2 linked regions of the Kluyveromyces lactis genome follow. The protein of the gene in region 1 interacts with the protein of each later gene in a biochemical or structural test. Links are inferred from orthologs where the notes say so. Each region holds a gene or a part of one and is shown on either strand. Other genes may lie near its edges. The genes, in order: MAF1 and SCH9.

Evidence for each region.
Region 2: of the proteins of MAF1 (region 1) and SCH9, one has a biochemical effect on the other in vitro, tested with the Saccharomyces cerevisiae proteins (5 studies listed by BioGRID). The link is inferred for Kluyveromyces lactis from reciprocal best matches to the Saccharomyces cerevisiae genes MAF1 and SCH9.

The regions. Positions count from the first base shown.
Region 1 is NC_006041.1:1,555,616-1,562,742, reverse strand, and holds MAF1 (RNA polymerase III-inhibiting protein MAF1), read left to right. Parts: upstream 1-4,073; coding exon 4,074-5,063; downstream 5,064-7,127. Other genes in the region: SOK1 (Sok1p), read left to right, coding at 1-548; DSF2 (Dsf2p), read left to right, coding at 1,106-3,166; putative DNA-dependent ATPase RAD57, read right to left, coding at 5,424-6,866. UniProt on the Saccharomyces cerevisiae protein: Mediator of diverse signals that repress RNA polymerase III transcription. Inhibits the de novo assembly of TFIIIB onto DNA.
Region 2 is NC_006038.1:324,522-332,914, reverse strand, and holds SCH9 (serine/threonine protein kinase SCH9), read left to right. Parts: upstream 1-3,839; coding exon 3,840-6,044; downstream 6,045-8,393. Other genes in the region: alpha-1,2-mannosidase MNL1, read left to right, coding at 730-3,024; QCR2 (ubiquinol--cytochrome-c reductase subunit 2), read right to left, coding at 7,297-8,379. UniProt on the Saccharomyces cerevisiae protein: Protein kinase that is part of growth control pathway which is at least partially redundant with the cAMP pathway. Regulates both BCY1 phosphorylation and MPK1 activity.

The sequences.
Region 1 (7,127 bases):
AGTACTTAAGACAATATTCTGATGGCACACAATCATCCGGTGCTGGCGCTCCTCAGGTGTCATCTTCATCAAGTGCTAACCTATCTCTAGATCATAAGAAGATCGACTTCGCTACCTCGTGGTTATCCAAACAAACTCAACCACTGAGCGATGTCTATGGTGTTCTTGAAGCAAGGGTATTCAAGTCTCTTGAAGAAATCGTGTTCAAATTCGGAGAGTGCTCAAAGGATGGCACGGTAAAACAAGACTTTATCAACATGTGCGGAAACACCAATACTGCTACCAATGCTACTGGTACCGCGACATCAACCCTACCAATCTCAAATGATGATTCAACGGGTGTTTCTTCTATTTTCCAGTCACCTTCAGAGGCAAACAGGACATCTACAAGCAAGAAAGAGATGGAAATTAAGGAGAGCCTCGCTGCGATTGATATGGAAGAATTCGAAAACTCCTATCGTCATTTATACACGGTTGTCAACTTTCACTGGTCTGTCTTTGGGTGCCACTACTTGGAATATATGGGCGATAAAGTTGAGAAAGTATGAGTTCTCAATCAAATCGGCAAAAAAAGTCAAACTTCAATTCTTCCCTTTCTAACTTTCAAATTCGGTTCATTTCTTTCTTTGTAACATAAGAGGCATACTCACTTATAAGCCTTTATTGAAGCTATTGGTTTTCAGACTCCACTCACAACCGTTGTGTTTATCCAATTTTTTTTTCTACAAACAATATAAACGTTCTTTAGCATTTAGCATTCATAATGATTAACATTGATACCATGTTCTATCAAATACATTCATCCACGAACAAGTAGTAGTATCTCCCGGATAAACACGCGTCTTTCAAATCTTTACTCAAATGACATCATTTGTTTCAGTTATCTTGTGCATTCCACATTTACAAACGGCTGTCATGAAAACGTTGAAAAAAAAAACAAAACAGAAACAAACAAATAATCATAGAGAGGCATCAAGAAAGGAATAAATCTAGGTTTTAGCTCTAACTAACTAGGAAAGTTCTTCCTTTAGTGTCCCATAACGTGTCAATTGATGGATAAACATTAGAGTCGGTGATTTAGCGGAAGTTAGACCAAGAAAAGACGATGAGCATTGAACATTTTTCCCCGTTGGATGGTCTTCAGAAGCGGACAGGCACCCGATCTGACCTAATGGGGCTGCAGCATGAGAACGTATCTGTGATAAGTTTTGATTCAATTCAGACGACAGGGAGATTATTAGATAAGTTGGACTTAAGTGCTGAGGAAGAACTGTTGTTGCAGAAAGCTTTGGAGGAAAGTGATCAAGAGAAGCAACGCGAAGAGACATCAAAAGTGAATAGACAGAAACCATCCGTATGTCTTCCAGCATCAGGTTTCCTTTCGTTGAGGCATTCTTCAGGACACTCCGGTTTCAGTCACCGACGCATCTCTAGTACCGGCTCGACACCAATGATTTCTGAAGATACCAAGAGAGAAACTTCAAAGGCAATAGCTGTAGAGAACAACGTGGCAGATCTGAGATATTCTTATATAACAGTGGAGGAACATGATGACGACGAGGTACAATCACAAGTGACTGAGTTATCGGGAGCCAGTAATGGTGTGGAAAAGGGGACTGTTACATCTGCATCGAATGGTGTGAAGCCGAACACGTCATCTGATCAGCCAATAAACATAGAGAAGTTTCGCTTCAAGAAACATGAACCAGTTCGATATAACGTTACCCCAGCGATTACTGATATGATGTTTTCTCCTTATAATAAATACGAATTTGGAACACCTGTAAACACCCCATCACACACCCCCAAGACGAGCCTGTCTTCCATTGTATTAAACCATCCCTCAACACAATCATCATCCGAGAGTGAGCAATCTAATGGTCTAGTCAACGGGTTTCAAACACCAAAGAAGAGTACCGCGTCCAACTCATTCCTTTCGTTCCCGTTCGAGGTTTCAACACCACCTAGCAAGGACTTTAAGAAAGGGCACCAATCGAAGAAATCATCATCATTTTCATTTAAGAATTTGTTCAAATCACCAAAGGTAAGTCATCACCAACCTGAAACTCCAATAAATGATTATTCATCGCCAATGAGCAACAAGACGATTGTGGATACTCCTGGAAAATCTACTTCCGTACCAAATACACCGACATCTAAGTTCAAGTTCCCACATCAGCTCAATCTTGGTGAAGAAAATGAACGCTATGACAAGGAAGAGAACACTGTCTCACTTTATAAGGACAAGAATGAATCACAAACTACGAATGTAAATCAAAGCACCAATCATAAACGTAGTCTCTCCAAAGGAAGAGGAATCTTTTCGCATATCACTCATGCAAATAATCAAAGATCTGAACCACAAACATCATCCTCTTCGAGCTCCAAACAGAGCTCAGGGTCTGCTTCGAGATCACAACATAGTTATAAAATGTTATTGGATCCAAGGCCAACGATTTTACCAGTAACCACTTTAGGTGGTAGAAAACCTTCTACAACCTCTTCCTCGTCCAATTCATCTACTGCATCTAGGAACGACCGTGAACCTGTCGTCCAACCATCATCTACATCACAAGGTGAACTAGTGCAGAGAAATAACTCTAACAAACGTCTCATTGCAAAACAACGAATCAATATTGCCATTGAATTAAGAAACAAAGGTGACCTGAAAGGGTCAACTGCACATCTCAAAGAAGCGTGTAAATTGGAGGACAGAACAGCTTTTTTGCTGTATGGTCTTGCCTTAAGATACGGGTCTGGTACCGAAATCGATTTACACGAATCATTTAACTGGATTAGAGGTGCAACGGGTATCAAGGATTTCAAAACCAGCGTATTACATGCAAATATAGATCCATTTGAGATACGTGAACCGCTTCCATCTCTACAGAATGACGCAGCTGCCCCCGCTCTGTACGAATGTGGTATAGCTTATATGAAGGGATACGGTGTCACTGCTCATGAATGGAAGGGTCTGAAATGTTTGGAATATGCAGCATCGTTGGGACACGTTGATTCTATGTGTTTATGCGGTACCATTTGGTCAAAGACGACTCCAAATAGGAAAAAAGATTTAAGACGAGCAGCTAAATGGTTCAGACTCGCAAAGGATCAAGGAGCAGATCTAATTGGAGCAGACTGGATCTATAAAACGGACTATCTATAGTTATCGTTCACTCACAGAGCAAGCTCCTCTCTAACAACATTTATTTCACATAGTAACATTAATTTCTAATATCATAATACTTTAATTCTTTACCGCATAAAAAGTTGTGGTTGCCACGGATTTGTACATACAGGAACATACATAAAGCAACTTCTTTTTGACTATAGAATGTCAATGTTAGCTTGGAGATGGTAGCTTCTGTTCAATGGTGCTGTCTGCTTTCAACTCACCTAGCTGTGGCCTCATAACTGAGGGTTACCCGACCTTTTAATGCGCGTTCCCGTTTCTCGAAGTAACATGTGCTGAGTTGAAATTATCACAAAGACCGATAACGCTGCCCTTACAATGAGTTTTCGAACAGCCAACCATAACAAGCTTGATAGGAGGCCGTCAATTTAGTTGAATCTAGCACAGTGTGTCTTTGAGCTCTCAAGAATACTGTTTTATTTTCAAACGTTTCACCGCTTCCAATTAACCTGCAATAATGAAGGTATGCGAATAATCGTGTTTTAATATAGTTCTGACATATTCATAATGAACAAACGGAATACTAACCTTATATTAACGGCATGTATGTATATTTTTTGCATCATGTGTTACTTAACATCTTTTAAAGTTTATCGATGAATTTGATTTAGAGGTTGTTAACCAGGCTCTTAATTTCGAGACCTCGGACTGCAGTATCACAGGTGGTTGCGACATTTTCACGACAAAGCCCGTAGCTTCAGATAAGAAGCTTTATAAGACCATAGATCGTCATTTGGAGTCCTTACTTCAAGAAAGTGAGTCGCTTACTGCTGCAGCTCACAGGAGGCAATCTTTTGACGAAAAGAACAGAACTATCGATGAAAATGTGCAAGAGCAACAGAGCCCAAACCCTAATTCATTCTGGGAACAAAAGAGAAGGATGTCTGTTAGCGAGAATTCGAGTGGGACAAATAGTTCGTCACCTATAATAAAATCTAATAAGTTGAACGACCAAAATTTGAAGGAATTCGTGCTGTCAACTGACAGTACAAATTTTGTCACGAATGGACACAACAATAGTAATAGTAGTACCACCAATGCTAACTCCAATAACGGATATTTGAGTTCATCATCAATGGAATCGGGGCCTTTAGGGATCGCTTCACAACGTCCCAGTTTCCTAAGGAGGACTAGCAGTGCTGGAAGCATTGCAAGCAACCATACCGATACTTCGAAAAGAAGACCTAGCACAAGTGGTTCAGCGAATGAAATACAAAATACTTCATACCAACAGAGGAGGAGGTCATCGGTACAAGGAAGAGACAACGTAAATATTGGACCGTTTGGACCTATCAACGAAACTGCTAGCAGGAGAGCTTTCGCGTATCTAATAGCCATTTTGAATGCGTCCTATCCGGATCACGATTTTTCGTCATTAGAGCCCACCGATTTCGTGAAATGCACCAAGAAAAGTTTCATCTCGAAGTTCGAAAATACCTTGATATCTTTAGGAAAACCACCTCAGGAATGGATCTGGGAAACGATCAACGGACATATGGATATCAACGATTGCGCTTTCTATCAATATGTCCCTCAAAAATCGTTTCTTGAAGATGAGCCTGGCCATCTTTGGTCATTGATGTGGTTTTTGTTCAATAAAAAAAGGAAAAGAGTCGCATATGTTTATCTAACAGCATGCCGTTTGAAAGGAACTCCCTCTGTTGGAAATAGTGTCATATTGGCGGATGACGAAGATGAAAATTCAAGTAAACTAGAATCAGAACGTAAACAGAGAAGGAAATTGACGTTAGATAACGACAACGATTTTGAAGGCGAATATGATTTAACTTATGAGGAGAATGCTATAATTGATGATGATGAGGGCATCAACGAAGATTTCAAGGATGAAGCCATGGATGATCTTAACTGATTATCATTACATTTTCGAACCAACTTATCGCTTTCCTGTATTTTTATTGAATTACCTTCCCCAAGTTCACGATAGCTAAAGCAGTGCATTATTTGGATGTTGTAACCTATAGTATTTCTTCTTGCTGTATCATTTTTTTCTAACTCTCTCTGTCTTTCTACCTATGTTTTATTATTAACACTATTGTTCTTATTTCAAATATAAATATAAAATCATGACAGTCCTTCTATGACGTAAACTGAACCTTTCCATACAAAATAAATACGCAACACGTAACACTTTATATGATTCAAAGTTGCTTAATTATATTTCTCCATATCTTTGAGTTTTCTTGACAGGAGTTAAAGCGCAATTGATATATCACTGTACCGAAATAACACCTTCTCCACTAATCGCAAAATTCATTTCACCTTTCACCGCATAAGTCGAAAACACTAGCTTCAGATTTCTCTGCACTTGCCAAAATTGAGAGGTATCTGTTGTATTGTTGTAATTGAATTCCCCCGTGCGTACCATAGGTGATGCTTTATATCGTTTCTCCAGTTTTATTCTTGTCATTAAATGGTTAGCCCAAGTTAAACCGAGATTTGGTACCTTCGTGTCAACTTCTCGTTTCCTTCTTGATAACAGGAAAGGTGCGGATGGTTGGGGCTGTGACGGTACCACAGGGGTTTTACTTTGAGTAGGCTGAGGTGAGTTTTGTTGAGAGATAACATTATTCCGCAGCGCTTCAGTCCTCAATGCTGCGACAGACTGCGCAGGGTCTTTATTATTTGTATCTGGAACACTAGCCGGAACATTCTGTTGTAATTTCCTTGCAACCTGGTCTACAATTAACGTATAGTCCTCATCGTCACTCAATATGGTCTCATCATATTTCTCTATTTCATTGAATTTGTGTCTATAAAAAATAGTCGAATTCTTCCATCCGATGTTCCAGCCCAGCTGATAATCATAATCCTTGAAGTCCTGTCGTATTGGCTTCTCTGGTAAAAGTTTGTCACTTACTTGATTGGCGACGACGATGGCCAAATTATGTTTTTGAGCTAAAGAAAGTAAGTTCTCTGCCATGGAATCTATAATATACCTGTTTGATCTCGATTCTTGAAATGTTTTCGATTGCAACTCAACCCTGAGATGGTGCGAAATCGAATCTATTATTACTAATTTAATAGATGGGTGTCTTTCCAGTAGGACTGGAAGCTGGACTGTTGTAACATGTTCTTGATTAGCCCAGTCATTACAGGTGACAGTGAATATTTTCTTTTGAGACACCAAGCAATCGCCACCTTCATCTTTAAACAAAGATGATTGTTCTATGATGCTTTTCAGCCTTCTGGTTGGTAAGTCACCCTCCGTAGTGATATATACGCTCTGCCCGTTAAGGCCATTCATGTCTTCTGGCAACTGAACAGAGAGTGCCAACTGCAGAAGTAATTGTGACTTCCCAGTGCTACTTTCTCCGAATATTTCAGTGATACCTTTTGAATATATGCCTCCGCCTAAAAGTTTGTCTAATCCAAGGTTCCCGGTGGTGAAACATCGTGGTTTGTCATCCTCCTTCAGTGTTGTGATGTCTTGTATCTTAATATCGGCCAATGCCAATTCGAATTCATTTCGTAGAGCGGCTTGAAACTTTATAATCTCATTGATAGATCTATTAATGGTCTTCATCAAGTTAGATGGTGACTGGGATAGGAAATCTAAGCAGGTGATCCCATGAAAGGTAGCGGCATCCAGTAAGAACTTGTATTCCGGTTGATGAATCATACCACTGGACGGAAGTTGTTCATATAAATCCATGGTGGGAAAACAACAGCAGCTGAACCCCCACTAAGCTCAAGTGAAGGATGGCACTGAGTACTGGAAAGTGGCAGCTAATTACTGTTGTGGCTTTATCTTTGCAGATCGTTACTAAGCTTTCACTTACGCCATAATAACGTTTTTTCAAATCAATTGTTAAATGTAATCACAATCACTACGCGTAACGAAACAGTCAATACGAGGCTATCAAATAGAAAACAATTGGATTCTCGTTCCAATAACTGGTTAACTCAGGTTGAA
Region 2 (8,393 bases), on another chromosome or scaffold:
TATAATGTATTCTTGTATTAAAACTAACTTCAACTATAATATTTCAACTAAGTTCGATTTTTTTCCAGTAACGAAATCTTTACAAAATTGCAGACACACTCAAAGACACACAGAATCACCGAGGCCTGAACCTAGACCTCATTCCCAGAGTGCCGTGCTGTGGAGGGGAATCAAGAATCCAGAGCAGCGGGTTGGCTGAAGCAGTAGGTGAGAAAGGTAGGTAGAGGTATGGGAAACTGTCGAGCCTAGCAGTAGGCTGGAACCCTCTGCCTAGCAACTGCTTCGCAGAGGCCCAGGAGCCCAAACCGCAAGCTCCCTGGAAGGAATAATTGGCTGGCGGTGTTGAGCTGTCTATTTTCCATTTCGGAATATCAGCGAAGGGAAAAAACGTGACTATAAACACTATATTCGGAAGTTTAAAATTTCTGTAAAATATAGAATGTATGTCTGGGTGTTGAAACTCTTGACACATTTCAAGGGGTAAGGATGTAGAACAACAGTCCCACATTACTACAAAATGACAATCGAACAGGGTTCATTATATTGTACTTAGCGTATGCATTTGGCATTGATTAGAAAATGTAAATATCATCCTTTTGAAGATCTCTGAATGTTTCCAGTCGATGATTATGAGCCGAAGGACCCATATATACCTTCAAGCGAGGTTTTCAAGTTGTTTAGATTCTAATACTGTATTGCCCAATTGGTAACAATTTGAGCATACATGTTATGGAACTGAATCTCATTTCTTTATGGTTTTTCATATGGGTCATTCTGGTAAGAACTGTTGACTGTTTTAAAGCCGAGCCGTACTCTTTCACCAAGAACGAATTGAACCAATATAAGGACCAAGTCAAGGAGTTATTCTATCATGGATTCAATTCTTATTTAGAATATGGATACCCGTATGATGAGGTACTACCCATCGCGTGCGTTCCTATGAAACGGAGATTCGATGATCCTTACGATACCAATACCAACGATGTCTTGGGTAATTTCACGACCACTTTAGTCGATTCATTTACGACACTCGCTGTATTGGGCGATAAGAAGGGATTCGCTGATGCAATCAATTTATTTCATAAAACGGTGCCCGAAACTTTTGATATTGACTCTACGGTGCAATTGTTTGAAACTACAATTCGATTACTCGGTGGGATGATGTCTGCGCATATATATGCAACAGACCCACGCACCAAGGTTTACTTGGGTAAAGATAACTATGATGGATTTTTGCTACGAAGATGTATTGCCCTAGGTGATAAGTTGCTTATGGCATACCTATCTCCCACAGGTTTACCTGTACCCAGGATAAATCTCCGTTACGGTACTCGGATTGATCCCAAACTTATTGAGGAGAATAATGCTGCTGCGACAGCATCTCCATTGTTTGAATTCAGGCTGCTTTCGATGTTGACGTTGAATGATACTTACCGCGAAGTCTCTGAATTTTCATTCAACAGAACCTGGGATCTTAGATCAGAATTGAATCTCGTTCCAATGTCGTTCAGTCCATACGATACCACGATATACAACGAGGTTACAGGTATTGGTGCATCGATTGATTCATTTTACGAAACTGCTCTTAAGGGTTCCATCTTATTCGATGATTCGTGGCTCTATAGTGTGTGGGAAACTGCAATATCCGCCCTTAACTCTTACTCAAAGACAGATTGGTTCTACAGTAACGTTGGAGTATCTCATGGTAAAACTGTCGTTCTTTGGATAGATTCGTTAAGTGCTTTCTTTCCTGGTCTACTGACTTTAGATGGAAGGCTGGAAGATGCAAGGAAGAAACACATAATGTTTTCCAAACTATGGTCTACATACGGTGGTATCCCAGAAAGATGGAACTTTGTGCAATCGCCACCGACCACCGAAGAATTAGACTCACCCTCATTGTCGATAGATTTAGAATGGTATCCATTGAGACCGGAGTTCATTGAATCGACGTATTACCTTTACAGAGCCACTAAAGACGTTTATTATTTGAATATCGGTATTCGAATTCTAAAAGATCTACAGCATCGCTTCAAGACTAGGTGTGGATTTGCGGGGCTACAGGATGTGACTACTGGAGAAGTTCAAGACCGAATGGAATCATTTGTCCTAGGGGAGACGTTGAAGTATCTGTATTTATTGTTCGATGAGGATAACGAATTGCATACAACGCTATGGAATCATATTTTCAGTACAGAAGCGCATCCATTCTGGATCGATGTGGGTTTAAAGAGACGTTACGAATCATACAGGAGGGAAGCAGACCCACCTCATGTTACTACAGAAATGTACCAGTTCCATTTGCTAAAGGCGAAAAACTGGATGAGAAGGACCAAATCTCCTAACAGGAGAATTAACCATGCTAAGAAGAAACTAGATGGCCAATGTATTTCTCCTGAACTGGCGTACACCAAGAGACAATCGAATAGACAAGGTTTCCAAGATTCCGACGTGCTATCCGATCCAAAACTGTTTGAAATAGATTTCAGATATCAGGCTACCTTGGAACAACCTGCATGGAACAAAGGATACATACCTTTCGAGCTAACACCAGAACTATACTCTCATTGGTCTTTCTCCCAACAGAAAATTTGTCTGGTCCCATTGACAAAAGCATTCGAAGGAACCATAGGAAGCAGAGACCCGGACTCAACACTGATATCGACACACCAATGGTCTTCTGACGCTCGAATGTACCGGTTCCAATCAATCTACGGTATCAAGATCGCTTTCCTCGATTTTACATGGCACCCGAACTCTATTGAAGTGCAGGACCCTAACTCGAAATTCGATCTATATGATGTCTTGAACAAGCAAAACTGTAAACCCAAAGACGATACAAGCATACATACCTACACAGTAACCGCAATAGATGGCATTGACCTTGGTGACAACGACGTAGTCGTTGTCAATAAATCAAGCCTCTTCTTCGATGACTCGAGCAAAGAGAGCTACATCTCGATAAATCGCAAATCTCAACTGCTCATCAACTGCATACCAATAACTAATATCTTCGTTTTGTAATATAATACATATCTTACCCGTACGTCTATTCTCGAGGATGGCAACCGGCCTATTTCTTTTTCCTGCCCTTCCTTTTCCTCTTATCTAAACAAACCCGAAGACGTCAGCTCTTGCAATCTCGCAGTTCACTACTTGAAATTCGGAAAAAGGAAAGGAAATCGAGAAAAGTGAGTTTCGAATGGAATAAAGAAACAAGATGCTGAAAATAAAGAAACGAAGAATAAGAAATGAGGAATGGAAACTTGAATAGGAAATAGGAAACAGAAAACAAGGAAGCGGCTTTTCGTTTGTGCTGTAGTTATACTTCTGCAAGTGAAACGGGTATATTTCTGCACAGGGTGTTTTTGAAGCTACGCTAGAGAGTCTTTGTGAAGATCGGAGGCGTGTAAGGTTTCTGGTGGTATATATTGATTTTCTATCGGTGCTTTCAAAGGATTATCTTTTATTTTAATCGAAAAAAGGATCGATAATCGATCGAGTGTAATATAAGAACTTGAGGCAAGGTTCATATTTGTGAGATCAGTGACCAAGTATTCTGATTCGAGCTCATTTTATTTAATCCCGTGAAGCGTTCTATTACTGGTTCATCGGTTTATTTTAGTAATATAAGAGTGGATTAATCGATCCAATTTATCGGGGGGGATTAATAATTTTTTTTTGGTTTTAAGTGCTTGCAATTCGCCATTCCGGTCTCAAGGTCTGAGTCAAGGTCCACGCTAGTTATCGCAGATCGTTAATTAAGTGAGGAAGGTTCACTTTTTGTAATTAATACTTCGAGCTTCAGTTCACATTATCTGACGTTGCCATCGAACGCCATGATGAACTTCTTCAAGTCCCAGAATGAGGGCAACAATGCTGCTGTACCTCGTCCGAAGAGTGCGGGAACTGCAGGTGCTGGGTTCTTTCCAAGCATAGGCTCGCATTCGGCGACTGCGACACCTACCACTGCTCTCAGTGAGCATTCCTACGCTATGGGAACTACCGGTCTTAATCAGAATCGGCAGCAGCAGGAGAACATTCTGGATCATATGAAGGCCTCTATGGATTCAAATATTCAAGAGCAACAACAGCAACAGCAGCAACAGCAGCAACAGCAGCGAGCACCGCAATACGCGCAATCTTCTGATGCGGCTCAACCTAGCATGGCTGCTGCACCAGAAATCAGCACCACAGACAACGGATCTTCTACATCATCTCGTTCAGATTCTAACAATAGTAATGGACAGCTACCCAGGGGCAAACTTAGGATTGTTATTGCAGAAGCCTTGAATCTTTCGATAAGATCGCCTTCTGCATCGCAACCTTACGTTGTTTGTACGTTTGAAAGTTCTGAGTTCATTTCCAATGGTCCTGAATCCTTGGATAACAAATATCCTTCTATTTCAGCTGCTAACTCCAATAACCAATGGAGCAAAGGGTTGCTTAATACCAACGAAAAACTTAAGAGACCTTTATACACTAGACAATCCTCTTCTCAGCTGGATAAATTGGGTAATAACCAATTAAACTTAAAGAGAGGTTCCATTAATCCTGTATGGGAACACGAAGCTACTTTCGATGTCCTAGGAACTCACTCTGAGTTAGACATCTCTATTTATGACGCTGCCCAAGATGACATGTTCTTGGGTCAAGTAAGATTACATCCAAATATGAACGCTGTCACTCCCGGTGTTCATAGTGAATGGCATAAGCTAAAATCAAGAGCTTTGGGTGAACATGTCACTGGTGATATTCTGATTCACTGGGAATATACTTCTACCAAGAAGAGACAATATGGACCACAGGATTTCGAAGTTTTGAGGTTATTGGGTAAGGGTACGTTCGGACAAGTTTATCAAGTTAGAAAGAAGGACACTATGAGAATCTATGCTATGAAAGTTCTATCTAAGAAAGTGATTGTCAAGAAAAACGAAATCGCTCATACTATCGGTGAAAGAAATATTTTGGTTCGTACTGCTTCCAAATCTTCTCCATTTATTGTCGGGTTGAAATTCTCTTTCCAGACACCAACTGATTTGTATTTAGTCACAGATTTCATGAGCGGTGGTGAGCTTTTCTGGCATTTACAAAAAGAAGGAAGATTCACTGAAGATCGTGCAAAATTCTATATTGCAGAGTTGGTGCTTGCCTTAGAGTACCTACATGATAACGATATCGTTTACAGAGATTTGAAACCGGAGAATATTTTGCTGGATGCTAACGGCAACATCGCTCTTTGCGACTTTGGTCTTTCGAAAGCTGACCTTAAGGATAGAACGAATACCTTCTGTGGTACTACTGAATACCTCGCTCCAGAACTATTAATGGATGAAACTGGATACACAAAAATGGTCGATTTCTGGTCTTTAGGTGTTCTAATTTTTGAAATGTGCTGTGGATGGTCTCCATTCTTCGCATCTGATAACCAAAAAATGTACCAAAAGATTGCGTTCGGTAAAGTCAAGTTCCCTCGTGATGTTTTATCACCAGAAGGTAGATCTTTTGTTAAGGGATTGTTGAATAGAAATCCTAAACATAGACTTGGTGCCATAGATGACGGAAGAGAACTAAGAGCTCATCCATTTTTCAATGACATCGACTGGGAAGCTGTGAGACAAAAGAAAATCCCACCTCCATTCAAACCTCATTTGATCTCTGAGACTGACACTTCGAACTTTGATCCTGAGTTCACCCAAACCTCAACCTCTTTCATGAATAAGCAGCCGATTGCAGCTACTCCGCTTTCGCCTGCAATGCAAGCCAAATTTGTTGGATTTACGTTCGTTGATGAATCTGCTATTGATGAGCATTATAACAATGCATACAATAATCGTAAGTTTTTACAAAACTCATATTTCATGGAGCCCGGTTCATTTATTCCTGGTAATCCTAACCTACCTCCAGACGAAGACGTTATTGATGACGAGGAAGAGGATAATGATAGACTTGCAGCTGTGAAGGGAAGTGGTGGTATTTCTGTAGACTATGACGGCGACCATCACATGGATGATGAATTTGTTAATGGTAGATTCGAAATCTAAATCGAATTCATCTTACATCAGTGCTTTATACATTTTTTGGTTGATCTTTTTATTTCATTCACCTAATTAAGATAATTACATCCCAATTTTGCCATGCTACTGATTCTCATATTCTCCATTCGCAGTTGTATTTATTTAGTTTCCTGCTTTTCCCCACTATCGTTCAGAACATGTTCTATCATTTTCATATGAATCTAATTTGCAGGAAAAAGTTGAACAGGAATCGATCGTTGTTACTATAATATTCAATTGCCTTTACATCACCGTTTTTCAAAGTACGAATGTACAATTTTCCAATGCACGGATAATGGTTTTTCATGCCTTATTGTAATATTCTAGTGCTAGCTTTTAGAATGATTCTTACCTGTTCCCCAACCGAAGACAGTTTGTGAGCTCTCAGAAGTTGGATGGCCTTTTTATCTTTTTTCTTTGATTACATATGTTTAATGTAATCATTTACTTTTTCCAATGGAGTTTTGAGAACTGTTATCGAACCTCTTTAATCATTCAGTATTCACTAAAGACTTTAGTTAAACTTTACCTTAACTTAACTTAATTTATTATTTCCGTTATGATTTTCTTTTTAGAACGTCAATTGTAGTAATTATCCAAATGTATCATTTATTATTTTTTATTCTGTCTGTAATCTATGATATTCTTTCCACTTGCTAGTTCTCAATAATATGTTAACTGATATTTGTTCAGAGATATATACTTCAATAAATAAGTGATAAGTTTCTAAGATGATATGTGAAAATAAAAATAGGTTCGGCAAGAAGACACACTACGTATTAAACCAACGTTCTTGCAATATCACCACAACCTCTGTTTGATTGTTTTTCTTAAGAGCAGTGATGGGGATTGTATGAATCAACAGAACTGTTGAATTTGATCAGTGGCTTCTGCACATTTCAAAAGATTAAGATATTGACGGGTTCTCTTTTAACATCACCAGTTTTTCCAAAGGTTAAAGGTGTTCTTTTGAATCTTAGAGAGTTTTGTTTTTGAATTTTATTGGTTTCTTTTAGGTTGCAATGTTTCCAAAAGCCACGAAAGGTAAAAGATAATAAAAAATATGTACAATAGAAATGTAATATCGTTTCTAAACATTTCAGTGATGTGATTCTGTCATCTCTCATGAATATGTGTGTTTGTTTGTTGTTTTTTTTTCAGTTTTAAAGTACTATGTGTGTAACTTTGGCTAGTAGGAGAAAGGTTAAAATCTGTGAGTTATTTTTAACTGTGATGAAATTTACAATTCATCAGCGAAAGGTAGCTTAGCGACGTTACCTACAGCGGCGTAAGAGAATTTGTCCAACTTGACATTCTTGACATTAGAGACATCGATTGGAGCGTTTTCCAAAGATAATTGCAAGGCAGTGTATTCCTTAGCAGCTGAAATGTCGACATCCTTCTTCAAGGTATCAACGACCTTCTTTATGTTTTCAGCAACGACAGAAGCATCCTCACCCTTGACGTATAAAGAGAACAAGCCGGCATTAGCGTACTTGTCTAACTTAGCTGAGTCAATTAATGGAGACAATTCGGACAAAGCAGAGGTTAGGTACTTAGCCAAGACTTCGTAGGTAGCGAACTGTTCCTTAGTAACTGGAACAGCGATAGCGGCAACGGAGGCACCTGGAGCACTTAATCTGGCTTCACCGGAGAAGAACTTTGGTTGAGCTTGAGCAGCCAACTTGGAGCCAGTTGGTAAAGAACCAATCAAAGAGTCGTTGACAAATCTCTTCAAGTCAGCTTCGTTGACACCTTGACCAACAATTTCAATGTTTTCCTTGGTGTAGACCTTGTTGGCATAAGCCTTGATATCATCCAAGGTGACCTTCTCGACACCTCTGTATAGAACTGTGTTACCTAAGTCCTTTCTGAAAGAGACATTGTAAAGTAAGTCTTCGGCCTTGTTGATTGGGTTAGTTTCAGAAACGGAAATGTCGTACTTAGCAGCTGGCAAGACAGATTCTGGTAATTCGTGGGGTCTGAAACTGGTCTTGTACAAAACGTTACCCAAAGCGTTAACGAAGTATGGAAGATCTTCCTTCAAGAAAGTAGCCTTCAAAGTGATGTATTCTCTGTCAACACTGGATTCGAACTTACCACCCAACAATTCACTTTCTCTAACCAATCTCAAAGCAGACTTGTTACCGGTGTTATGGAAGTTGAATCTGGACAAAAGGTGGGCAATACCTTCTTTGTCGGCGTAACGAGAACCACCGTGAACCTTAACAGCCAAAGTGGATAGTTTACCGGAACCGTCTTTAGCGGAAATACTGAATTTTCTAGCAGTTTGCTGGGCAAATTGTAATCTACTGGACAACATCTTTATATTATATG